7 linked regions of the Macaca fascicularis genome follow. The protein of the gene in region 7 purifies or fractionates together with the protein of the main gene of each other region. This does not show direct contact. Links are inferred from orthologs where the notes say so. Each region holds a gene or a part of one and is shown on either strand. Other genes may lie near its edges. The genes, in order: KPNA2, BCL11A, CHD3, ZNF512B, SIN3A, PARP1 and MTA2.

Evidence for each region.
Region 1: the proteins of MTA2 (region 7) and KPNA2 purify together in Homo sapiens (affinity purification with mass spectrometry; 4 studies listed by BioGRID and IntAct, with this or other methods). This does not show direct contact. The link is inferred for Macaca fascicularis from reciprocal best matches to the Homo sapiens genes MTA2 and KPNA2.
Region 2: the proteins of MTA2 (region 7) and BCL11A purify together in Homo sapiens (affinity purification with mass spectrometry; 4 studies listed by BioGRID and IntAct, with this or other methods). This does not show direct contact. The link is inferred for Macaca fascicularis from reciprocal best matches to the Homo sapiens genes MTA2 and BCL11A.
Region 3: the proteins of MTA2 (region 7) and CHD3 purify together in Homo sapiens (affinity purification with mass spectrometry; 8 studies listed by BioGRID and IntAct, with this or other methods). This does not show direct contact. The link is inferred for Macaca fascicularis from reciprocal best matches to the Homo sapiens genes MTA2 and CHD3.
Region 4: the proteins of MTA2 (region 7) and ZNF512B purify together in Homo sapiens (affinity purification with mass spectrometry; 3 studies listed by BioGRID and IntAct, with this or other methods). This does not show direct contact. The link is inferred for Macaca fascicularis from reciprocal best matches to the Homo sapiens genes MTA2 and ZNF512B.
Region 5: the proteins of MTA2 (region 7) and SIN3A purify together in Homo sapiens (affinity purification with mass spectrometry; 4 studies listed by BioGRID, with this or other methods). This does not show direct contact. The link is inferred for Macaca fascicularis from reciprocal best matches to the Homo sapiens genes MTA2 and SIN3A.
Region 6: the proteins of MTA2 (region 7) and PARP1 purify together in Homo sapiens (affinity purification with mass spectrometry; 3 studies listed by BioGRID and IntAct, with this or other methods). This does not show direct contact. The link is inferred for Macaca fascicularis from reciprocal best matches to the Homo sapiens genes MTA2 and PARP1.

What each region holds. Positions count from the first base shown.
Region 1 is NC_088390.1:74,467,001-74,470,500, reverse strand, and holds part of KPNA2 (importin subunit alpha-1), read right to left. Parts: intron 3,073-3,500; coding exon 2,804-3,072; intron 2,552-2,803; coding exon 2,457-2,551; intron 2,357-2,456; coding exon 2,093-2,356; intron 1,605-2,092; coding exon 1,371-1,604; intron 1,123-1,370; coding exon 940-1,122; intron 1-939.
Region 2 is NC_088387.1:61,517,316-61,520,815, forward strand, and holds part of BCL11A (B-cell lymphoma/leukemia 11A), read left to right. Parts: coding exon 1-1,869; 3' UTR 1,870-1,871; intron 1,872-3,500. UniProt on the Homo sapiens protein: Transcription factor. Associated with the BAF SWI/SNF chromatin remodeling complex. Binds to the 5'-TGACCA-3' sequence motif in regulatory regions of target genes, including a distal promoter of the HBG1 hemoglobin subunit gamma-1 gene.
Region 3 is NC_088390.1:7,978,855-7,981,454, forward strand, and holds the end of CHD3 (chromodomain-helicase-DNA-binding protein 3), read left to right. Parts: intron 1-189; coding exon 190-316; intron 317-801; coding exon 802-923; coding exon of another isoform or gene 924-1,042; 3' UTR 1,043-2,100; downstream 2,101-2,600.
Region 4 is NC_088384.1:120,103,254-120,107,330, forward strand, and holds the start of ZNF512B (zinc finger protein 512B), read right to left. Parts: upstream 2,801-4,077; 5' UTR 2,665-2,800; intron 2,509-2,664; exon of another isoform or gene 2,363-2,508; intron 2,087-2,362; 5' UTR 1,396-2,086; intron 881-1,395; 5' UTR 879-880; coding exon 758-878; intron 452-757; coding exon 309-451; intron 1-308. UniProt on the Homo sapiens protein: Involved in transcriptional regulation by repressing gene expression. Associates with the nucleosome remodeling and histone deacetylase (NuRD) complex, which promotes transcriptional repression by histone deacetylation and nucleosome remodeling.
Region 5 is NC_088381.1:52,597,009-52,600,508, reverse strand, and holds part of SIN3A (paired amphipathic helix protein Sin3a), read left to right. Parts: intron 1-1,621; coding exon 1,622-1,829; intron 1,830-3,500. UniProt on the Homo sapiens protein: Acts as a transcriptional repressor. Corepressor for REST. Interacts with MXI1 to repress MYC responsive genes and antagonize MYC oncogenic activities. Also interacts with MXD1-MAX heterodimers to repress transcription by tethering SIN3A to DNA.
Region 6 is NC_088375.1:84,279,744-84,283,243, reverse strand, and holds part of PARP1 (poly [ADP-ribose] polymerase 1), read left to right. Parts: intron 1-588; coding exon 589-687; intron 688-1,477; coding exon 1,478-1,630; intron 1,631-2,560; coding exon 2,561-2,688; intron 2,689-3,469; coding exon 3,470-3,500. UniProt on the Homo sapiens protein: Poly-ADP-ribosyltransferase that mediates poly-ADP-ribosylation of proteins and plays a key role in DNA repair.
Region 7 is NC_088388.1:11,457,078-11,461,141, reverse strand, and holds the start of MTA2 (metastasis-associated protein MTA2), read right to left. Parts: upstream 2,801-4,064; 5' UTR 2,386-2,800; coding exon 2,358-2,385; intron 1,622-2,357; coding exon 1,554-1,621; intron 1,186-1,553; coding exon 1,092-1,185; intron 1-1,091. Other genes in the region: EML3 (echinoderm microtubule-associated protein-like 3), read right to left, coding at 3,409-3,612, 3,693-3,823. UniProt on the Homo sapiens protein: May function as a transcriptional coregulator. Acts as a component of the histone deacetylase NuRD complex which participates in the remodeling of chromatin.

The sequences.
Region 1 (3,500 bases), on a different chromosome or scaffold from region 7:
GCCTCCTAAGTAGCTGGAATTACAGGCGCCTGCCACCACACCCGGCTAATTTTTTGTATTTTTAGTAGAGACGGGGTTTCACTATGTTGGCCAGGCTGGTCTCAAACTCCTGACCTCGTGCTCTGCCCACCTCAGCCTCCCAAAATGCTGGGATTACAGGTGTGAGCCACTGTGCCCAGCCTGTAGACTCAACTTCTATATGTAAAAATCTCTAGAATCTAAAGTTGATGAGTAGGACTTACCTACCACCAATCACTATGACAAAGTGCCATATGCTGGTACGCTTGGATCAATTAGGGATACAACCAGAAGAAAAATATAAGTTATTCAAATTTTTTTTTTCTGAGATAGTTTCACTCTTCCGGCCAGGCTGGAGTGAAGTGACATGATCTTGGCTCACTGCAACCTCCACCCCTGGCCCAGGGTTCAAGCGATTCTCCTGCCTCAGCCTCCCAAGTAGCTGGGATTATAGGTGCCTGCCACCACACATGGCTAATTTTTGTATTTTTAGCAGAGACGGGGTTTCACCATGTTGGCCAGGCTGGTCTCGGACTCTTGACCTCAGGTGATCCACCTACCTTGGACTCTCAAAGTGCTGTGATACAGGCATGAGACACCATGACTGGCCAAGTCATTCAAATTTAATTTCACCAAAATTCAGTATGAAATTGGGACATTAAATCAAGTAAGTAAACAGATGTGATGAGTTCACATAAACGCCCGACTTCGATTCAGGTCCCATCATCCACTTGTCATCTCTTTCATCTTTGATAATGCCTGCCACATTTTTAATCAAAGGTGTGGCCCACCTAAACAGGCTTTCTGAATCTGTGGCTTACTAGTGACTAAACTTACAACAGTTGCCCTCCCCCAGGTCTAAATAGTAAACTGATTATTATCAAGTTCAAATTCAAACAAAGCCACCTTGATAGGTCTTACCTGAAAGATATTTGAAATGGCATCCAAGATAACCAGAATAATCTTGGTATCTTTTGCAGTTAAGAGGTTCATCAACGGTTCTATTATGCCACAGTGAACAAGGTACACAATCTGCTCAACTGTTCCACCACTAGTGTAGTTGGTCACGGCCCATACAGCTTCCTTTTGTGTCTTAAAATCTGCCTATTAAACATAAGGAAATGGTTTTATTTCAGAAAGTTGCAAGAATAAGTTTCCAGGAGTACTTTTTCACAAAAACAATGACTCAAAGTACCAAGGTTCTATCCAACTGTAAGTGAAAGGGGTTACTGGGTATTTTTCAGCAAAGGACTCCAAGTAGAACCCAAGATTCTTGCACGTGAAGAAGCTTATCAAGCAGAGCTTTCTATAAATACTAAAAATGACTTGATTAAATCCTAAGACTTCATTACCTTAGAGAGAACACTGACAAGGAATGGGACTAATCCATGATTCACAACTTGCTGTATCTGGTCCTGACGGCCAGCTGTGATGTTTGACATTGTCCATGTAGCTTCCTTCTGAATGTTAGTTTTGGGGTTGGTGAGCAGGCTGGGAAAGACAGCGAGCGCTCCTGCATCAATTACAACCTGAGTCTGTTCATCTGTACCAGTGACAATATTCCCTATGGCTCTTAGGGCAGGAGTCTGAAAAAAAAAAAAAAATGTTGATGCTGGTTTTTTCCCAGCACTTCAGAAATTCTGTACCCTAAAAGTTTTAACAAGAGGCCCATCATGGGTATGAAATAGGTAATATTTCAATATTAGTATCAACTGATAATGCTTTTTTTTTTTTGAGAGACAGGAGTCTTGCTCTTGTCACCCAGACTGGAGTGCAATGGCACGATCTCGACTCACTGCAGCCTCTGCCTCCCGGATTCAAGCAATTCTCCTGCCTTAGCCTCCCAAGTAGTTGGGATTACAGACGCGTGCCACCACATCCAGATAATTTCTTTGTATTTTTAGTAGAGATGGGCTTTCATCATGTTGGCCAGGCTGGTCTCTAACTCCTGACCTCAGGGGATCCACCCACCTTGGTCTCCCAAAGTGCTGGGATTATACAGGCGTGAGGCACCATACCCAGCCCTGATCATGCTTTTTATACTAATGTCCTAATCTACAAGTAAATAACTTACCACAATTGGCAATTCAGAAGCTCCTAGAAGCTTCACAAGTTGGGGCACAACTCCTGTTTTCACGACCATGTCAATTCGTTCATTCGGACCGTCAGTAAGGTAGGAAATAGCCCAGCAGGTATCTGCTAATACTTCTGGATCATCATGATGCAGGAGCCGAACTAAGGTAGGAAGAATCTGCTCAACAGCATCTATTGGGGGTGCAGGATTCTTGTTGCGGCAAAGATTTGAAAGTGTCCAGGTAAGATTGCGTAAGTAGCCACACTAGGGGGAAAAAAATAGGCAATGAGAGGTTCTGTCTTTTGAGAAGATGGGGGAAATTAGAATGAAGAAGTGAGTAACTTTATTCATGTTAGTAACTTACTGCTAAAGATGACATATCAGGAACCGCAAGCAGAGCCAACAGTGGGTCAACTGCACCATACTTAATAACCAAGTCTCGGAACACTGAGCCGTCACCTGAAAAAAAAGGCAAGATTAATTTTATTATCTTGTCCAACACCACCAATGTTCAGTGACTGATGCACCAGCAAAAACTCCCAAACGTACTTAGATGCCCCTCTGCTGCCTTTGTAAAGACGACACTTTCATTCCTAATAACGGCTTGAAAGCAAGCTCAAAACTTGATGAAGTCGTTACTATTTATAAGGCCTTTCTTTGAACTCATTACGCTTAGATACATTCAGTCAAAAGAACTTCAAGTCCAAGTACCTGCAATGTTTCCTAGAGCCCAGACGGCTTGTTCACTGATGTGAGCATGGGGAGATGCCAACAGAGAGATGAATGCTGGGATGGCACCTCCATCTACCACAGCCTTGGTCTGTTCTGATGTCCCAGAAGCAATGTTAGTGAGTGCCCAAGCAGACTCAAACTGAATGGGACTACAATCAGTTCTGCCCAAGAAGGACACAAATTTTGGAATCAAACCAGCCCGGATTATGCTGTCTATGGGGGGCTGTTTTTCTCTAGAAAGTAGTTTCCTAAAGGGGAACAAAAAGAGAAATAAAAGTTGAAAGTGGTTAACAAAAGGAGTTTGTGTAAAAACCAATTTAAAATGCAATTCAACAGTTTAGAACTTCAGACAACCTTTTAAGTAAATCACTAAATGCTGAGACATTCTGGAATCTAAGAGAAGCTGAACAGATTACCTATATGGTGCTATATATGCGGTATCATTAACTACCATTTTTCCAAAAATTAATGTAGATTACCCTCCTCTCCATCCCTGCAGAAATCTACAGATCTTGTCACTTTTTAAAAAAACTTTTGACGTTCTGACAGGGTTAGACTCCCATTGTTAACTGAATTTGTTCTCCCTGATAGTTGTGGTTAAGCACATTTTTCTTTTTGAGACGGAGTCTCGCTCTGTTGCCCAGGCTGGAGTGCAGTGGCCGGATCTCAGCTCACT
Region 2 (3,500 bases), on a different chromosome or scaffold from region 7:
CCTTCAGGACTAGGTGCAGAATGTCCTTCCCAGCCACCTCTCCATGGGATTCATATTGCAGACAATAACCCCTTTAACCTGCTAAGAATACCAGGATCAGTATCGAGAGAGGCTTCCGGCCTGGCAGAAGGGCGCTTTCCACCCACTCCCCCCCTGTTTAGTCCACCACCGAGACATCACTTGGACCCCCACCGCATAGAGCGCCTGGGGGCGGAAGAGATGGCCCTGGCCACCCATCACCCGAGTGCCTTTGACAGGGTGCTGCGGTTGAATCCAATGGCTATGGAGCCTCCCGCCATGGATTTCTCTAGGAGACTTAGAGAGCTGGCAGGGAACACGTCTAGCCCACCGCTGTCCCCAGGCCGGCCCAGCCCTATGCAAAGGTTACTGCAACCATTCCAGCCAGGTAGCAAGCCGCCCTTCCTGGCGACGCCCCCCCTCCCTCCTCTGCAATCCGCCCCTCCTCCCTCCCAGCCCCCGGTCAAGTCCAAGTCATGCGAGTTCTGCGGCAAGACGTTCAAATTTCAGAGCAACCTGGTGGTGCACCGGCGCAGCCACACGGGCGAGAAGCCCTACAAGTGCAACCTGTGCGACCACGCGTGCACCCAGGCCAGCAAGCTGAAGCGTCACATGAAGACGCACATGCACAAATCATCCCCCATGACGGTCAAGTCCGACGACGGTCTCTCTACCGCCAGCTCCCCGGAACCCGGCACCAGCGACCTGGTGGGCAGCGCCAGCAGCGCGCTCAAGTCCGTGGTGGCCAAGTTCAAGAGCGAGAACGACCCCAACCTGATCCCGGAGAACGGGGATGAGGAGGAAGAGGAGGACGACGAGGAAGAGGAAGAAGAGGAGGAAGAGGAGGAGGAGGAGCTGACGGAGAGCGAGAGGGTGGACTACGGCTTCGGGCTGAGCCTGGAGGCGGCGCGCCACCACGAGAACAGCTCGCGGGGCGCGGTGGTGGGCGTGGGCGACGAGAGCCGCGCCCTGCCCGACGTCATGCAGGGCATGGTGCTCAGCTCCATGCAGCACTTCAGCGAGGCCTTCCACCAGGTCCTGGGCGAGAAGCATAAGCGCGGCCACCTGGCCGAGGCCGAGGGCCACAGGGACACTTGCGACGAAGACTCGGTGGCCGGCGAGTCGGACCGCATAGACGATGGCACTGTTAACGGCCGTGGCTGCTCCCCGGGCGAGTCGGCCTCGGGGGGCCTGTCCAAAAAGCTGCTGCTGGGCAGCCCCAGCTCGCTGAGCCCCTTCTCTAAGCGCATCAAGCTCGAGAAGGAGTTCGACCTGCCCCCGGCAGCGATGCCCAACACGGAGAACGTGTACTCGCAGTGGCTCGCCGGCTACGCGGCCTCCAGGCAGCTCAAAGATCCCTTCCTTAGCTTCGGAGACTCCAGACAATCGCCTTTTGCCTCCTCGTCGGAGCACTCCTCGGAGAACGGGAGCTTGCGCTTCTCCACACCGCCCGGGGAGCTGGACGGAGGGATCTCGGGGCGCAGCGGCACGGGAAGTGGAGGGAGCACGCCCCATATTAGTGGTCCGGGCCCGGGCAGGCCCAGCTCAAAAGAGGGCAGACGCAGCGACACTTGTGAGTACTGTGGGAAAGTCTTCAAGAACTGTAGCAATCTCACTGTCCACAGGAGAAGCCACACGGGCGAAAGGCCTTATAAATGCGAGCTGTGCAACTATGCCTGTGCCCAGAGTAGCAAGCTCACCAGGCACATGAAAACGCATGGCCAGGTGGGGAAGGACGTTTACAAATGTGAAATTTGTAAGATGCCTTTTAGCGTGTACAGTACCCTGGAGAAACACATGAAAAAATGGCACAGTGATCGAGTGTTGAATAATGATATAAAAACTGAATAGAGGTATATTAATACCCCTCCCTCACTCCCACCTGACACCCCCTTTTTCACCACTCCCCTTCCCCATCGCCCTCCAGCCCCACTCCCTGTAGGATTTTTTTCTAGTCCCATGTGATTTAAACAAACAAACAAACAAACAGAAGTAATGAAGCTAAGAATATGAGAGTGCTTGTCACCAGCACACCTGTTTTTTTTTTCTTTTTCTTTTTCTTTTTTCTTTTTCCTTTTTTTTTTCCTTTATGTTCTCACCGTTTGAATGCATGATCTGTATGGGGCAATACTATTGCATTTTACGCAAACTTTGAGCCTTTCTCTTGTGCAATAATTTACATGTTGTGTATGTTTTTTTTTAAACTTAGACAGCATGTATGGTATGTTATGGCTATTTTAAATTGTCCCTAATTCGTTGCTGAGCAAACATGTTGCTGTTTCCAGTTCCGTTCTGAGAGAAAAAGAGAGAGAGAGAAAAAGACCATGCTGCATACATTCTGTAATACATATCATGTACAGTTTTATTTTATAACGTGAGGAGGAAAAACAGTCTTTGGATTAACCCTCTATAGACAGAACAGATAGCACGGAAAAAAAATCTCTATGAGCTAAATGTCTGTCTCTAAAGGGTTAAATGTATCAATTGGAGAGGAAGAAGAAAAGGCCTTGAATTGACAAACTAACAGAAAAACAGAACAAGTTTATTCTATCATTTGGTTTTAAAATATGAGTGCCTTGGATCTATTAAAACCACATTGATGGTTCTTTCTACTTGTTATAAACTTGTAGCTTAATTCAGCATTGGGTGAGGTAATAAACCTTAGGAACTAGCATATAATTCTATATTGTATTTCTCACAACAATGGCTACCTAAAAATATGACCCATTATGTCCTAGTTAATCATCATTTTTCCTTTAGTTTAATTTTATAAACAAAACTGATTATACCAGTATAAAAGCTACTTTGCTCCTGGTGAGAGCTTAAAAGAAATGGGCTGTTTTGCCCAAAGTTTTATTTTTTTTAAACAGTGATTAAATTGAATGTGTAATGTGCAAAAGCCCTGGAACGCAATTAAATACACTAGTAAGGAGTTCATTTTATGAAGATATTTGCTTTAATAATGTCTCTTTAAAAATTCTGGCACCAAAAGAAATAGATCCAGATCTACTTGGTTGTCAAGTGGACAATCAAATGATAAACTTTAAGACCTTGGATACCATATTGAAAGGAAGAGGCTGACAATAAGGTTTGACAGAGGGGAACAGAAGAAAATAATATGATTTATTAGCACAACGTGGTACTATTTGCCATTTAAAACTAGAACAGGTATATAAGCTAATATTGATACAATGATGATTAACTATGAATTCTTAAGACTTGCGTTTAAATGTGACATTCTTAAAAAAAGAAGAGAAAGAATTTTAAGAGTAGCAGTATATATGTCTGTGCTCCCTAAAAGTTGTACTTCATTTCTTTTCCATACACTGTGTGCTATTTGTGTTAACATGGAAGAGGATTCATTGTTTTTGTTTTTATTTTTTTAATTTTTTCTTTTTTATTAAGCTAGCATCTGCCCCAGTTGGTGTTCAAATAGCACTTGACTCTGCCTGTGATATCTGTATCTTTTCTCTAATCAGAGA
Region 3 (2,600 bases), on a different chromosome or scaffold from region 7:
TCCATCAGAATCCTATACAATATGGAAAAACATCTTGCTAGAACACAGTCGTCACCCTTGAGTGAGTCTGCCTGCCTGTGTATCCTACCCTCAGTAGCTGTGGAGTGTGGCTCCTAATGTCTCCCCTACAGCTTCTTTCCTCTCACAGACTATGAACTAACTCCAACTTCTGCTTACTCTCTGTTCCAGGCCTTCCCCCCGGGTCCCTACGCTACACCTCCGGGGTACGGGGCGGCCTTCAGCGCCGCACCCGTAGGGGCCCTGGCCGCCGCAGGCGCCAATTACAGCCAGATGCCTGCAGGGTCCTTCATCACAGGTCAGCTGGTGTTTTCCTACCCCCTGCTACTCACACTCCTCCTTTGCCAAACTTTATTTCTGCTCAGCTGCCCTTTAACTGCTCTAGTCCATCTCATTTCCTTGGTGGTATCTGGTGTTTTATGGGATAGAGTTGTTCTAGGCTGTCCCCCCATCCCTTTCTTAACCCCTCTTTGATCTCCTTTATCAAAAACCAGAGTTTTAGTAGATCTGTGACTTGGTGTCTTCTACCCAAGCCACCTCCCTCCAGGTTCCTTCAAGGGAAAGTGAATATGAAACCCGAGGGGTATAGAGTGGGAACACGTGTTCAATCATGTAACACAAAGTGGAATCTCAGGGAAAGGGGTTTGCCCTTGTCTTCCCACCCTTACCTGGGGCAACTGGAAGTGGCAGGAGGTGGCCTAGAAGTGAGAATTCACCACTGTCATGAAGTGATGTTTGGGAGTGATGTGGGAATTGATCTTTCCTTACCACTTTCCCAAACAGCCGCCACCAACGGCCCTCCAGTGCTGGTGAAGAAGGAGAAGGAAATGGTGGGGGCGTTGGTGTCAGACGGGCTGGATCGGAAGGAGCCCCGAGCCGGGGAGGTGATCTGTATAGACGACTGACTGGATCCCAGGCCTGCCCTTCACCCAGGCCCCGTCCCCGAGGCCGACCCCCAGCTCAAGCGCTGGGGCCTGCTGCCAGCCCTCCACCTTCCCCACCCCTTGGGCCATCACTGGGCTAGGAACCCCTTTGCCCCTCTCTGCAGCTCCTCTCTTCAAGAAGGGCCCTTTGTCTTTCTCCACTCCCACGCGCCTTTCCCACCAAGCCTTGAAGACTGTGCTGGTGAGAAGAGGTCTGGGTGGGAGACGGCTGGCAGGGTCTTCCAAGTACCTTCCTCCCCCACCGCCAAGTATACACAACTTCCCAGTAAATGGTTGTGGGGAGGCAAGAGGTGGAGCCTCCCCAGCTGTTTCCCTGCAGAATCAGCTCCATCTCATGCAGAAGTGGAGAATTAGCCTTGCCTGGCCTTTAGGAACTTTTGCGGGGAAGAGAGCTTTGAAGAGAGGAGGGGGACTTTTAGAGAGGGATGAAAATGAGTCCTGGGAGGGAGGAAGGGACGAGGAGGGGTGGCTGCATGTTACCGTTCCCTACCTCTCCCCACAATGAGGGTGGAGCAGTTATGAGGGAGGAAGTCAATTGCTGTTCAGCCTCAGAATAAAGGCGCCGTTCACTGGCTCAGTTACCTCCTGTGTACCGGCATCTTGTGTTGGGAATGTTCCCCCCTCCCTAGGGACCAAGGACCACCCCTACAAAGAGTAATGGTTGGGTGATACTCCCTCAAGCCAAAGAGGAGCTCCCCAACCTGTTCTAGGGACCCAGGTCACCTAGAAGGGTGGGAGAGAATACAATGGGCCAGACGGCGGTGGCGGGGAAGCCCCCAGCTCTGGGGCTTAGGTTCCTGAAGACTTCTACTACCCTCCCTCCTCAAGGCCTAGATACAGACTAAATTTGCGTTAAGTCAGGCAGGGGACCTAGTCAGGGTCTTGGGAGCTACCTTGTCACTGGGACCAGAGCAAAGTAGTGGAGGGCAGGCAAGGGAAATGTGGGCACATCCCCCCTCCCAGGAGGGGCCAGGGAGAGTGGCAGTTTGCATGGCGAACCCCCCACTTCCTCTTTGCTGCCCCTTCACTTTCTTGCTGCCCCCTTCCCAGTCTCTCTTCACACCCACTCCTGGTCTGTCCTGATCCCCTCTTCTGTATCAGGTTTATTGGTTGTACATATAAATTATACTTTCCTTTCTGTGTGCTCTGTTATTTTTTATAGGGGGGGGAGTTTTGGGGGGAGGGATAAGAAAAGTTGTTGCTTTCTGCCTTTTTTAAAAAAAATCTTACGACTTTTTCCTTTTCCTCATTTTTATCTCTTGGATTATTCACTAAAACTGAGGTTCTTCCAGCTCCAACTATGTGATGGGCTCAGTGTAGAGAAGGAGGGTGAGCAGCAGATACTACATGGCCTCAGGTTGACTTCAGAGAGAGTGGGACTTACTGGACAGAAATGTAGTGGGAGGAGTGCCTAGCAAGATTCAAAACTGCCTTCCAGCCATCCTTTTGATCATCCTTTCCACCTTCAAGTTGCACTTTAGTTCCCCTAAGAGTCAGTAGAGGTCACTACAGCTCCACAGGTTCAGTTCCAGTATGAAGCAAAGGCACACTTTTTTTTTTTTAAAGGAGTTGAGGGTCAGATCTGTCTAGCTTACCAAAGATTTGAACTGCTAGGCACTTCCTTGATGTTTATTGCTC
Region 4 (4,077 bases), on a different chromosome or scaffold from region 7:
AGCCCGAGCCCCACACTCAGAGCCCTCCCTGGGCCTGCAGGGTGCACACACCACATGAGCCCCTCAACATCGGACTGCAGTGGGAATTCAAGCCACCCAGCAGGGGCCATGCACAAGACCTGCTCTAGGAGCCCAGAATCTCCCGGCACACCAGATATAAAGCCAGACCACATGAAGCCTGCCAGGCCAGTGCCCACACCTTGAGGCACAGAGTTGGTACCAGATGTGCAGAGGACAAATCAGGGCAGGGCAGTGGCTGGACAGGGAGACCCCAGCATGAGCCCCACCATGGCCCTGAGGGAGCTCACAGGAATGTCTCGGAGGGCCTGGTTCTCGGCTTTTGGCCGCCCCTTTTTCTTCCCTTCTGTCTTGTCGCTGGCTGGACTTCCTGGGTCAAAGCAGAGAGGGGCTTGGCCAGGCACTGTCTGTCCACCACGGACCACCGGCATCCCTGCAGCACATAACACAGCAAGGCTCGGAAGCTGTAGCACTGTCTACCACTGGGGGCTGCACAGGCCCACAGTGAGCGCCACTGTCCCAACACCAGGGCACCGGGAGCAGGGGCTGTGGCCAGCTGAGGACAAGAACCCAGGGCCCTGGGCGATGTCCAAGGCAACCCTTCCCCTGGTAAGGTCCTTGGGAACTCAAGGGGCCTAGCTGGGTACCTGGAGACAGGATGCCCGGGGCCGTGGCCCACTCCTACCCCTTGCTGCCCAGAACCATGCCCAGAATTGACTTTGGCCCTGACTCCTCTTACCCATCTTCGGTGGATCATGCAGCATTGGAAGTCGGACCTCCTTTCGACTGCCATCCTTCCCGGGACCACTCTTGCTGGACCCCGGGGGCCGACGGCCTCCAACGCAGAAAGGATCCGTCATCTCTGCGGAGCAAGTAGACAATCTGTGAGGCCTGACGGGCCCCACTCAGAACACGTAGTGAGGCTGCCCTGGAGCCCCGCCCTTGGCAGGTCCTCGCTGGTCAGGGAAGAGGGGCCTGCCCTCCTGTGGTTTTGTTCACGTGGGAAAAGCAAGTGATGGGGGGTTCTGACTTAGGGGAGGGGCTGCCAGCCAAGGTCTCCCCAGATAACCCAGGAGGCGTCATCAGTTTGGAAGGATCTAGTCCTGTCCTGAGACCCTCACCAGCTTCCAGATCCCCTTCCCAACACACAGCCCCATAGCTGCAGAGATGATGCTGGAGGTGATGCTGGGAGGGGTGTGCCCCCGGGAGAGGTGCCTTGTGCAGGAGGAAGGAGGCTGGCAACATTCCTCCAGGGGACAATTATGTCTCCGATGATGGCTGCTGGCTCACAAGCTGCCCGGGCCCAGCAGTGGGGGCACAGCTTCTCACTGGGGCCCTGGTACCCTCCCATGCAGACCTGATGCAATGCCAACCTACCCAGGCAGGTACCCTTGGAATCTTCTCTCCAGACACAGATGGAAAACAGCCAAGGTGGGCACTGAGGACCCCCAGCCCACTCCAGCCCTGCACCAGGCTTCTGTCTCTGTTCTGGCTGAGCTATCCCCCCGACCCTCTTCACAGACTTGTCTGCGGGCCTGGCAGGCTGACCCGCCCCCAATCTCTCTCTGGAACTCTCAGTCCCCTGCCCACAGACCCATTACCACCACCTCAGCCAAACAAGTAGTGGAAGCACTAGCAGTGAAGGCCCAGGCTGCTGGCCAGAGAGAATGCCCTGCTGCCCAACGCTGGGCCCCCCCGAGGTCCTGTGCTGCTGGGAACCCCATCCTGAGAGCTGGGGAGCAGAGGAGACTCTGGGCTCAGCCCTGTGGAAAAGCCACGGAAAGAGGTGGGACAGGAAGCAGGGTGAGGGCTGGGTGGGCAGGTGGCCCCCTCCTGATACCTTCTAATTAACTTAGATCAGAGGGGATGGGAAGGGGCTGCTGTGTCCAGGAGGGCCAGAGAGCTGAGGTCAGAGGTCAGGACAGTCACTGCCCATTGCCAAGGGGGAGGCCAGTGTCCGGGCACAAAGTTCTCTGGAAGTCCTCACTTTGCAACTTTGAAAGGAGACAGGGTCCGCATGAGTCATCCCAGCACCTGACGACCCCGGTGGCCCCAATTTTTCTGAAGCCTGGGAGAAGAATTCAGAGTAGTGGGACCTGAGGCCAGGGCCGGCCTGGGAGGTAGAGACGCGACTGGCGCCCCGGGCGAGAAGGGGCTTCGGCCCTCCCGAGCCCAGCGGGCACACCGAGCCCTGGCGGGGAGAGGGGGCTCCGCCGCGCTGCGCGCAGGAGACGCCAGCAGCGGGTCCGCCGCGTAGGCCGTTCGGCCCGGGACCCCGGCCCAGGCCTGGCGCGAGGGTGAGCGCGGCCAGGGACGCGCACCTGGGGCCAGCCTCGCCACCCACCTGTCACCTGGGGCCGGGAGCGGGCGCGGGCGCGGGGCGCGGGCCTCGGCCTGGCCGGGCAGGGCCGATCGCGGGCGCGGGGTGGGGGGGCGAAGGCAGTGAACCAAAATGGCGACTTTTTCTGGAGAAGGAGGAGGCAGGAAGACGGCGCCGGCGCGGGGCGCGGGGGCTCGGGCGCGGCGGGGGGCGGGGGGGCTCCGGGCCCGGCCCCCTCCTCGGCCTGCGCGCGGGGTCGAGATCCGGGGCGCGGTGGGCGCCGGGGCTGCGGCCAGATCGGGGCTGGGGCACGGCCGGGCGCTTACCTGCGGCGCCCAGCGGGGCTGCGGCCGGGCCGAGCCGGGCCGGGGTGGGGGGCGCGGGGCGCGGGGCGCGGGGCGGTGGGTCCGGGCGGCGCAGGCTGCGCGCCGCGCTGCGCACATGCGCGCTCCCGCCCCTCCCACCTTTGACAGTTTTACTGCGGGGGGGAGGGGGCGAACTCTCGCGTTATTCCCGCGGCCGCTCCGCGGCGGGGAGGGGGCGGGGAGGGGGCGGGGAGGGGGCCCGGCGCTGGCCTGTGGTCCCCCCCCCGCGGTTCCGCCCCCGTCGGCCGGGCCCGCAGTCCGGAGTAGCCAGTTCTGCCGTCCTGGGGCGCGGGGAGTTTTTTGGACAGTGGGGTAAACTGAGGCCCGATAGGGGCGCTGGGCACTGCCCGGAGTCCGGCGCGCACGGATTGAGGCGACCTGATTCCGCCGCATCCTGGCCCGCGCGGCGAGGGTGGTCTCTGGGCTCGAGTCCCTGACCTCTGGCCCTGGGGGCCGTGCACCGGCAAAGCAGGATTCAGCCTCTTTCCAGCCGGCCCTGAGACCACTTTTGCGACTGGCCCCTGGCGGTGCCTGGTGGCTTGAGGCCATGGAGCTTTACTGGGGTCACTGACCATTGGGTCAACCTTTCCCAGCTCTGGGGGCAGTGGTTCTGAACCAGTGCCAGGGCCTTCCCTGCCCCATATCCTGGGCTTCTGCAGGGGGCACTGGGGTCCGGTGTGGGCTGAGTGGTCTGGAGGCGACGGGGCACTGACACCACAGGACTTGAGAATTGAATGAGGCAGAGAAAGGTGTAGCTCTCCTAAAGAGGACGGAGGAGGCCCCACACGGGACTAGCACAGGACCCGCAAGAATCTCCCCCAGGAGAGTCCTGTCCTGTCTGTCTGTCTGTCTGTCTGTCTGTCTTTCTTTCTCTTTTTCTTTCTTCTTTCTTTTTCTTTCTTTCTTTCCTTCCTTCGTTCTCTTCCTTCTCTTCCTTCCCTTCCCTCTCTTCCTTCCTTTTCTCCTTCCTTCCTTTTTCCTTCCCTCCCTTCTCTTCCCTCCCTCCCTTCTTCTTTCCTTCCCTCCCTCCCTCCCTTCCTTCTTCTTTCCTTCCTTCCTTCTCTTCTGTTCCCTCCCTCCCTTCCTCCCTTCCTTCCTTCTCTTGCTTTCCTTCCCTTCCTCCCTTCCTGCCTTTTCTCCTTCCTTCCTTCCCTTCCTTCTCTTCCCTCCCTCCCTTCCTTTCTTCTTCCTCCCTTCCTTCCCTCCCTTCCCTTTCTCCTTCCTCTCTCTCTTTCTTTCTTTCTTTTTTTTTTTTGAGAGGGAGTCTCGCTCTGTCGCCCAGGCTGGAGTGCAATGGCCGGATCTCAGCTCACTGCAAGCTCCGCCTCCCGGGTTCCCGCCATTCTCCTGCCTCAGCCTCCCGAGTAGCTGGGA
Region 5 (3,500 bases), on a different chromosome or scaffold from region 7:
AGGTGCACGCTACCATGCCTGGCTAATTTTTGTGCTTTTATTAGAGATGGGGTTTCCCCCAATTGGCCAGACTGGTCTCAAACTCCTGACCTCAAGTGGTCTGCCTGCCTCAGCCTCCCAGAGTGCTGGGATTATAAGTGTGAGCCACTGTGACTGGCCCATCAGAAACCTTCTTAAGTGAAACTGGCTTTTTTTCACTTAATGTCATTGTGCAGTCAGTGTGAAGTTCAAAGACTTGAATTGCAATTGCATGAGGTTACAAAATCGTGGAAGTAAAAGGATTCATTCATGGTACAAAATAAACCAATAGAGTTTGACAACTGTATGAAAAGCTCAGTGATGTATATAGATTGATATTGGAATTTGGTAACAATTTGTTCGATATTGCAAATACAATTTGGCGCCACCACCATTTTTATTCACCATTACGTTTATGGTGCCAGTGCAGATGTCAACACAGCAAAAAAGGGAAATAATATTTTAGTATTATTATGAAAATAGTTTTGATCTCACAGATCTCCTAAAAGGGTCTTGGGACCCTTTGGACAAAGAACTGCTGTCTACAGAAATACATGTATACAAAGATACTCACTAGAGCAATATTTTGGGGTTTTTTTTTTTTTTTTTTTTTTGAGACAGTATCTGACTCTGTCTCCCAGGCTATAGTACAGTGGTGGGATCTTGGCTCACTGCAACCTCCACCTTCTGGGCTCAAGCGATCTTCCCACCTTAACCTCTCAAGTTGCTGAGACTCTAGGCACACATCACCACACCTGCCTAATTTTTTTATTTTTTGTAGAGAAGGGGTTTTTGCCATGTCGCCCAGGCTAGTCTCAAACTCCTGAGCTCAAGCAATCCACCTGCCTCCCAACGTGCTGGGATTATAGGCATGAGCCACAACGGCCAACCTGAAGCAGTGTTTTTAATAGCAAGTTATGAGAAACAGTATAATTGTCTAGCTGATAACCTTTCTTCACTGGATGTTGAGGAGATTTAGCAAGCCTCCCACCCCTCAGGGCATCCATTCATGTGAATTATCTTCTTTCTTGTCTATGTAGAGTGGCACTAGTTTATATCATCTGGGGGAATTTTTAAAAATAGGCATTCAAATAATTTTTTGTTATGTGGTTCAGATGAGGAACCTCAGTTGAAATAAACTGTTAAGGAATGGTAAATTGGGGTACATTTTTCTGCAGCAGTTAAAGAGAATAAGACAAATCTGTCATGAAATGAAAAAATACTCATGACAGTAAGTGAAAAGTTGAGGACAGAATATATAGTATGATCCTATTTTGTCTTAGAAACAAATCCCAAAGCAGAATTATAGCTGGTAATTACATGTGTAAATTTACAGACGGAGGCCCAGAAGTTTCTCATTAAAACTCTTAACTGGCTGCATCTGCTAAGGCAAGTAGGGGATGGGTGAAGATTTCTACTTTTTATTCTGTGTACCTTTGCAGTTGAAATTTTTTTTGCAGTGAAACAACGGAACATTTTTGTATGTATTTAACAAATTGGGATGAGTACTATGTAAGCATATAATAAAGAAAACTCACTTGGGGGAAGTCACGGGAATCTGTGTCTGGATGAGCTCTCATCTTTCAGGGCTTTTCTGCCATAGGAATCTACGGCGGATCCGGAAATGTCAGCGTGGTCGAGAGCAGCAGGAAAAGGAAGGGAAGGAAGGAAACAGTAAGAAGACCATGGAGAATGTGGATAGTCTGGATAAGCTGGAGTGTAGATTCAAGCTGAATTCCTACAAGATGGTGTATGTGATCAAATCAGAGGACTATATGTATCGGAGGACTGCCCTGCTCCGGGCTCATCAGGTGAGAACCAGTAACTAATTTCTGTACACATCTGCCACCCTAGCTAGGAGCAGGGGAGGCCCAGAGTCTTCTGATTGTTTCTCTTTGTTTATGCAAACCTGTTCTTGGAGCTGAGACTTAGCTGAGGAAGTAGGTATGTTGGTTTGCTAAGGATGCTGTGACAGAGTACCACAGAGTGTGGCTTAAACGACAAAAGTTCTGGAGACTAGAAGTCCAAAGTCAGGTGTCAGCAGTGTTGGTTCCTTTTGAGGACTGTGAGGGACAATCTGTTCTAGGCCTCTCTTAGCTTCTGGTTCTTTGCTGGCAATCTTTGGCATTCCTGGGCTTGTAGATCCCTGCCTTTATCTTCATATGGTGTTTCTACCTGTGTGTATGTCTGCCTCCAGATAAGGTCACATTTGGAAGTACTGTGGGCCAGGACTTCAATATTTGATTTTTTGTTTGTTTGAGACAGTCTTGCCTGACACAGCCTCCCAAAGTGCTAGCTTTACAGGCACGAGCCACCACACCCAGCCAACATAAGAATTTTAGGGAGAACACACTTCAGCCCGTAAGAGCATATAAATACCTGGTGGCACCTTTTTAGTGAATTTACTCCCAGTATTTACATCTCAAGTAGTATCTGATCGTTTGCTTGTATGAATTCTACCTGTTTTTACATTCTATCTCAATTGTGAAACCTTCCTGCTGCAGCTGTGTACAGGGTGTTATGCCAGGCCCTGGGACTACAGCCATGAAGTTGATCAGATGAAGTAATGTGATGATATGCACTACCAGGGAAACAAATCAGGTGCAGTGATCAAGGGTAACTAGCATACAGGCCCTGCTTTCACTGGAGGAGGCTTCTCAAAGGAGGTGATGCTTGAGGCCTGAATAATGACAAGGAATTAGCCTGGTGAAGAGTAGAGGATGGGTGTTTTCTAGACAAAACAGCAAGTACAAGGCTGGGAGGAAAGAACATGGCATATTCAAGAAACTACAGACACCGTTGTGGCTCAAGGTTGCATGAAGTTAGAAGGGTAGGCAGAGGCCACATTACTTTGTCTAATAGGCCATGGTTTGGAGTTTGTTTGAGATGCATTGGGACATTTGACAAAGATAGCTTGGAGTGCTATGAGGAGAGTGGAGATGGGTATGTATAAAGTTGGAAGAGCAGAGACCACTCAAGGGTGCCCTTGTCCAAATGAGATTTGGGGACCACCCAGACTACTAGGGTGGCAGTGGAATTGCAAGAATTACATTGTAGATTTTATGTGTTTATTTATTTTTGAGACAGAGTTTCACTCTTGTCGCCCAAGCTGGAGTGCAGTGACCCAATCTCGGCTCACTGCAACCTCTGCCTCCTGGGTTCAAGCGATTCTCCTGTCTCAGCCTACTGAGCAGCTGAGATTACAGGCACGCGCCACCACGCCTGGCTGATTTTTTGTATTTTTAGTAGAGATGGGGTTTCACCATGTTGGCCAGGCTGGTCTCGAACCCCTGACCTCAAGTGACCCACCCACCTCAGCCTCCCAAAGTACTGGGACTACAGGCTACCACGCCTGGATGTAGATATAATTTAGATATTTAATTGACAAGAGATGGTATTGGATCAAATGTGGGGGTAAGCAAAAGGAGGACATCAAGGATGGTGCCTAATTCGTTTTGGGGTTTTTTGGTTTGTTTTGCTTA
Region 6 (3,500 bases), on a different chromosome or scaffold from region 7:
CTTATTCTCTGTTTACAATTCTGAAGACTTTTAATTAAAAGACAGTGAGGTAGACCAGCATTCCTAGGTTTTCTGAACTTTGAATATAAATATGAAAATAAAACATAACTAGTCTCATCTATAATACTCAGGTTTACTTAGCATAGATTACGTCAGCTATTTGACAGCTGCTTGTTAGGCTTGTGCACTGAGCCAGGGATAATTTTAATTGCACATCATAGCTGTGACTTCCTCTGGCCCATTGTGTTTTAACTCATGCTGAGCTGGACTCTCTTCCAGGAGCCAGTTGCTTGTTCTGGAAATGCCCTGCTCACTGACAGTGAGCCCCATATTCCAGCTTCCCTGATATCCCAAAACATAGAATTTTAAGACAAAAAGGAACCCTGAGCCCAAGTAGATGAAGAGGAAAGTGGAGCCACTGGCCCAGGATCTGCCCAGCCCACGGGCCTGGGACACAGGCTCTCGGTCATGCCTGGCTTCCTTTGAGGAGTGTGGTGTTGAGCTGTGCATCGACTGAGCCTGAGCATTCCTCCTCTGTAGCTCTCCTGGGGTCTCCTTTGTGCTAATCCCAAGATTCTGTTTACCCAGGTGGTTGGCAGAGATTCTGAAGAAGCCGAGATCATCAGGAAGTATGTTAAGAACACTCATGCAACCACACACAATGCGTATGACTTGGAAGTCATCGATGTAAGAATCCCTTCTTCCCCCACTTTCTTCTGTGTCCTGCCAGCTTTTCCCTGCCCACTCCTCCAACCTGGGCCTGGGTAGAAAAGAGCAGTTTACTTACTTTAAATAATCCAAAGAAGTGACTCATTTGTTCAGCAGAAAAATTAGTAGTCTTTTTTTTTTTTTTTTTTTTTTTTTTGGCATGGAGTCTCACTCTGTCACCCAGGCTGGAGTGCAGTGGTGTAATCCCAGCCCACTGCAACCTTTGCCTCCCGGGTTCAAGTGATTCTCCTGTCTCAGCCTCCAGAGTAGCTGGGATTACAGGCATGCGCCACCACACCTGGCTAATTTTTGTATTTTTAGTAGAGGCAGGGATTCACCATGTTGGCCAGGCTGGTCTTGAACTCCTGACCTCAGGTGATCTGCCTTCCTTGGCCTCCCAAAGTGCTGAGATTATAAAATTAGCATCTTATACAGTAGTTTGGGGATGGCTTTTTATTATGTTTTAAAGGACATTTCCCATCCCCAAACCTGGTCTCAGAACGTACAATTATCAGAGGTCTAAGATAAAGTTCCTCAAGTGCACATCTGCTGCACAGTAATACTAACTAGCAATGGCTGGGCTCTGCTGGGCCAGACCTTGACCTTCCATCCCAGCCTTGTGGAAAACATTTTCTGCATTGCAGCAGACCTTAAGTCTTCTAGCCTTAGGGACAGCCAGTCATTTCTCCTGTGTCCAGTCCTATCTTTCAATCAACCAGAGTAACAAATGGCTTCTTTTGTCCCTCCCTTTGTTTACTACTACAACCAGATCTTTAAGATAGAGCGTGAAGGCGAATGCCAGCGCTACAAGCCCTTTAAGCAGCTTCATAACCGAAGATTGCTGTGGCACGGGTCCAGGACCACCAACTTTGCCGGGATCCTGTCCCAGGGTCTTCGGATAGCCCCGCCTGAAGCACCTGTGGTATGTGCCTGGCCTAGTGAGGGGTGGGCAATACCTGTCTCTGCAGGTGTCTCCATAAAGAACTTTGAGTAAGAGGCCTAGTTGGCTTAGGGGGATGCTGCCAGACATCCTTTCTTTAGGCCTTCACCCTTTTATCCTCCTGACCCTGATCCTGTCAGGAGTTTCAAACACAGTTTCTGGAACAAAGGAGATAGAGCATCCAGGCCAGGGCCTGCTGCAAATGCTAATTGGGTGTGTTGATGAGCAAAGAACAGACACGTGGCTACAGGCCAAGCTGAGTCCAGGCCTACCTCTACCACTTCCCAGCCGGGCCACCTCTTGAGTGTCAGTGTCTTCAGCAGGAAAACGTAGTGATAAATAAGTAAGGCTTTACCCAGACACGAGGGGTCGTGATGCCACCTGCTGGATTCTAGATGGGTCCAGCTGGACAGGGCCTTCCAAGCCTCTAGTTTCACAGTTGTAGAACGAGGAGGAGAGTGGTTTAAATGATGCTCTCTGGTGCTGTGCAGTAGTGTATAATGGGCAAATGGCCTACCCTTTGTGAACCTTGTGTTTCACTTACAAAAGGGAATAAAAATACCAGTCTGCGTTCCTTGGGTGTTGACAGGCACTAGTTTAAGTAACATTGATGAGCTCATTCCATCCTCACAGCAGCTCCATGAGATTATGTTCCCCACTTAAAAGAGGCAAGTAGAGTCCAGAAAGGTTACATAGCTTCTTGCAGCTCCTTGGCACCTGGCAGAGCTAGGATCTGAGCAGCCTGGCTTGTGAGCTAAAACTTTGGTGTTTCCTCAGCATGGGCATTGTGAGAATTAGAAGTGATGGATTGCAGCACTTAGCTGGGTGGCTTGCTCATGTTGGCACTCAGTGAACAGCTGCTCCTAATTTCCCATCAGAAGATTCTCAGCTGTCCCTTTTCCAACCTTCCAGACAGGCTACATGTTTGGTAAAGGGATCTATTTCGCTGACATGGTCTCCAAGAGTGCCAACTACTGCCATACGTCTCAGGGAGACCCAATAGGCTTAATCGTGTTGGGAGAAGTTGCCCTTGGAAACATGTGAGTAAACCTGGCTCTGGGACCGATGGCATTTCATGGGGACAGATGGAATGGGCTATAGGCAGAACTCCCTTTGGCTGGGAGAGTGGAAATTCCCCACTACAGTTACTGGACCTGCCAATTAGGATTCTTTTCTTGTAAATAACAGAATCCAATTCAAGTTAAGGGAACAAGGGAGATACAAGGATACTTCAGGAAATGCAAGGGCAGGAACGCAGCCAGGCCTCCAGAGCTGGCAGTGTCTTCTCTCCACGGACTGGGAAGCAGAGAGATTGAGTTGCACAAAGGATGATCCCCCATGGCCTCCTCCTCCACTCAGCAGTGTTTCAGTTTTCTTAGACCAACCCAAATAGAACTGGAATCTTAATCCCACTTCCAGATTCTCCACAGAGAAAGATCTGATTAGTCCAGCTTGATTTGGACATCCACCCTAGTCCTGTGAACTGTAACCAAAAGCACAGGGTCATGTAAATGGCCAGGGGTCTGGGGACTGTGGAATGTGGACGGAAACCCAGAGCTGCCGTTCACCACTCCATATAGGGCCTTTCCTTGAAAATGGCCCCATAGCAGTGATCGCTGGGCACAGACTATGTTCAGCCGCAACCGCAGCTTCAGGTTCTGGAGCAGTTCCAGAAACTCGGGAGGAAGCCTGAGCAGTTAAGATGGTCTGGGTTTTGTGGGCTTTTATCTCATCTCTATATCTGATCTTATTCTCCTAATCAAACTTGGTTTTGAGAGCACAGTGTGAAAGCCTCTTCTGAGCCCGTCCTCTTTTGAATAGGTATGAACTGAAGCACGCTTCACATATCAGC
Region 7 (4,064 bases):
AGCCCTAACTATCCCTCATTCTCTACTTGGCTAATAATAGTTCCTAGGGTTTTCAAGGACAACACCTCTCAAGCTAGTGCCAACATCTTCCTCCTGAAAGAGCTGCAGCTTGCCCTGAAACCTAGTGGAAGGGGTTAATCTGGCTAGGCGCCAACCAAAGTGGGAGGGGGCAGAAAAGCCTCAGGCCCAGGCTCATTGGTGCATTGTTCCCAACCTCAGGGAGAAGGGGGGGTTGTGCAGTAGGCTCCACCCCTCGCTTGTGTGCTCCGGAAACCCTGTGCTAAGGCAAGGGGGACCACACCCCCAACACCCCTTCTGATTGGACAAGGCCAAGGTCAGCCCCTGCCAGATGGGGCTGGAAACCCTAAAGGGCCAGGGAACTTGGTTAGCCAGGATCCTCTTTAACCCCTTCTCACCCAGAGCAGTCTGAAAAAGGAAAATGATTTAGAAAGGTGGAACAAAAGGAAGGAAAAAGAAAACCAAAGCAGGAAAGGAAAAAGAAGCTAAGAAAATATTTTTTTTTTTAAAAAAGAAAATGAGACCTTAAAGAGGATGAAAATAGAGCAAAATGAAAAGGGAAAGATGTAAAATGGGGGGTGGCAGGTGGGGAAATGGGCAAGGTGAGAAATTAAAAAGTGCAAGAAAACTTCCAGCCATCTTCTAACTTCCAGGTATTCTCACCACCTTGTGATTACAAAATAAGGCTGCTTCTGTTATGCGGGCTTCTCAGTACAATCTCTTCCTCTTCACCTTGACCTTCAGTCACCACCTACTGTCCCAGTGTACCCCAAACTGCCCCCCTTTAGAAAAGCATTCTGTTTCTCTAAACCCCGTCTTCATCCCCTAAATAAACCGTATCGTCTCTCTCCTACTCTCATACACAAACCATATCATGGCTTTCCTTATCACAATCTCTCCACCCTGCTTCCAACCCCAACGTGTAAAAACAGGTCTCCCTCCTCAGGCCAGGCATTTCCCACCCTCAAACTCACACCTCTGCCTTGGGCATGCTACCAGGGGAAATACCTGCAGGGACATGCGCAGGCCTCAGATCATGGGGAGGGGGAAAAGAAAGGGATGAAGATACTCACTGGCATTACTATCAGCCAAGCTGTTGAGGCTACTAGAAATGTCCCTGCGCCGGAAAAGACAGACGACCTTTGCCTCCACATTTCCATTTGCAGTCTAAGGGGAGGAAAAAAACAAAAACAGAAACAAAACAACGTAGCAGTGAAAATTGATCATCTGGGAACAGAAATACACAAAGAGACAAATAACAGTAAGTTTCGGAGGGACCTAAATTAAAAAGCCCAAGAAAATATGAGTAAATACTTACATTCAAGGACAGACTTCCAAATCCCTTTCCTTTGCCCCCAAGAGACAGAATAGTAAAGTTCCTGCTAAGCTCTCAATAGCCTTTCCTGAATACATCCAATTAATGAATGAATGAATATGAATGGGTACTTAGTATAGGGTCCTCTCTTCCACCTGAAGTTAGAAACCTCAGAAGAGACCACTGGGGGAGGGAGGGAGAGGGATTCTGCTCCACTCACCTTGTTGAGTTCCTCAATCCGTCTAACCAGGTAAGGATTGCTGGAGGAGTTCTCAAAATAGACGTAATCTGTAAGGGAAGGGAGGGGCGAGAACCACGAAGATCAGAGGAGATGGGAGAGACGCAGAGCACCACAGTAGGAGAGAAAGTTGGCCTGAGTGGATCAAAAGAAGATAAGGATTCAGGCAGAGAGCGCGCTGAGATGTGAAAGTGTAAAGACTAAGAGAAAATAAGGATGTCCCCCACCCCCACCGCACCTAGTTCTAAAATCAGATCCATTACTCAAAAGTGAGCCTTAAGGAACAGGCAAGAAGCAGGGGTTCCCCTGCAGTCCCCACAACTCAGCAACGAGTTGCACCTCAGTCGCGGCGAAGTAATTGTTCGCTCTAGCGCAGGGCCCCCACCTTTTCGAACTGAGGCGCACAATAACGCCTGGGAAGAGGAAACCTCCGGGCGGCTCCTCCGCGGTGGCAAAGCCGTCGCCCCAGCCCCTCGCGTTCCCTCCCCACCCTGTCAGCTCCTTCGGAACCGGTTTCCGAAGCCCACTCCGTGCCCCGAGGAGCCCCCGACGCAGCCCTGAAAGTGCCGTCGGGGCTGCCCGCAGCTTCTCTCCAGGAGTCTCGGCGCCCTGCCGCGTCGCGGTTTCCCGCACCCTAGCTCCTCGTCTCCCGGTTCCGGTTCCGGTCCGCGCTCCGGTCCATGCCGCCCCATACGCTGCGCCTCGCGCCACCCGGTGCCGAGCCCCTCCGGTCCCGACCCCAACCTCTCCCGCCCCGGACCCTGTACCCCTGCGCCCGGTACTCACCTCCCACCCGGTACATGTTGGCCGCCATGGCCGTTCCCGCCGCCGCCTCCGGCCGCACAAAGGGGTCCGGGAGGCTCGCGGGGGCAGGGCTCGGCTAGAGGCAAAGCCCTGAACGGTGGGCTGGCGCTTCGAGGGAGTCTCACTGGGGCCCGCGCAGCCGTCACCTCCGCTGCCTCAGCCGTCGCGGTTCATCCCGGCCCGCGCTATCGCCGCCGCAGCTATCGCCTCACTCCCGGGACGCTGAGGCTGGCCCCGGTCCGCTCGGCTTCTTCCGGAACGAGCTCGGCTCCTGCCAGGCGAGAGCCAGGCTGCAGCTGCCCCCACCCCCGCCGAGTCCCACTAGTCGTTGGGCTCTGCCGGCCGCAGGGAAGGCTTGCCCGGCCCGCCTCAGGGTTCGCCTCCTTCCGGAACACCTTCGGCCGATCCGGAGAACAAGGCCCACTGCTCGGCTCAGGTCGGAGAGCGAGACCCCGCAGATCGGCTACTTCCGGAAGAAGTTCGGCTCCTGTCGGCCAATCGCTCGGCTATTTCCGTTGCAGCTCGGCACCCCCCCACCCCTTTTTCCGAGGGCGGGAGAGGAGTGGGGCTTAACTCTGTCCTAGCTGGAGCCCTGCAGCTCCTCCTCCCGCCCCGAAGACTCGCGCGCCTTAGCGCTTCGCCAGGTTATTTGCAAGCGGCTTTGCCTGTTATTTGCATAAATGGTCTACGCTCCCTTGCCCTTTCCGCACGCCTCTTTTCCTTCGTCCCCACCCCACAGGGCCCCGGAGGCACCCAGCAGCGCCCCACAAAAGCACCGGGAGGCGACTTTGGTTCTGGTTTATTGCCCCTCAGCAGGCAGCGGGAGTCAAGGCCTAGGTTGGGGCTGCCCGGCTCAACCAGCGGGTCTAAACAGTGTGTGCAGGGGCGCCGTTCGCGCCCTCCAGGGAAATGCACCGTCGGGAATGTTTCGAAGTCAGTCGAGGAAAGAGTCGGCCCCTGGTCGTGGGGGATTAGGGCGGGGCAGAGCGGGGCGGGGCCACGCCGCCAGGCCAGTAGGTCCCGCCGGCAGCGATCAAACGTCGAGGGAGGAGGCGGGGGACAGGGAGGGGGTTCGAGAGGGCGTGGCAGGCGCCGGCCCCGCGCCCCCAGCGCCCAGCACTCGCCACTGGAAGATGCTGGCGTCCTTGCCGCCCAGCGAGACGAGGTGCGAGTCGTCGTGCGTGAACCGGACGCTGGTCACGTGGCTGCCGTGGCCCCCGTACATGCGGCTCGGCGCCTGGGCGGGAGGGAAGAGTTGCAGTGGCGGCGGAGCCCTCGGGCCCACCCGTCCCACCCCGGCGGCCCCCGCGGCCTCACCTTGGCACGAGCGCACGGGTACTGGAATAGATGCACTTTGCAGAAGTCGTCGGCCACCGCCACCACGCGCTCGTTGTGGGAGCGGCACAGGGAGTTGATGTCGGTCCCATCGGAGCCGTCCGGCCACACGCCTAGCACAGTGGCCGGCCTCAGCCCGACCTCCTACCCACCGCCACCCACGGCCCAGAGCTACACCGTTTCAGGCGCTCCGGCAGCCGCAGCCACCCACTGTCGCGTTCCAGGAAAGCCTTCCCGGTCCCGAGGGCCGGAGGGGCCTCCTGGGCTGGATCTTCAGGTTTCTGGACTCTCACCCAATGACACACGCCCAGCGTTCCGAGCCCAAACTGGGCTCCACCTTGTCCCCCACCCCTC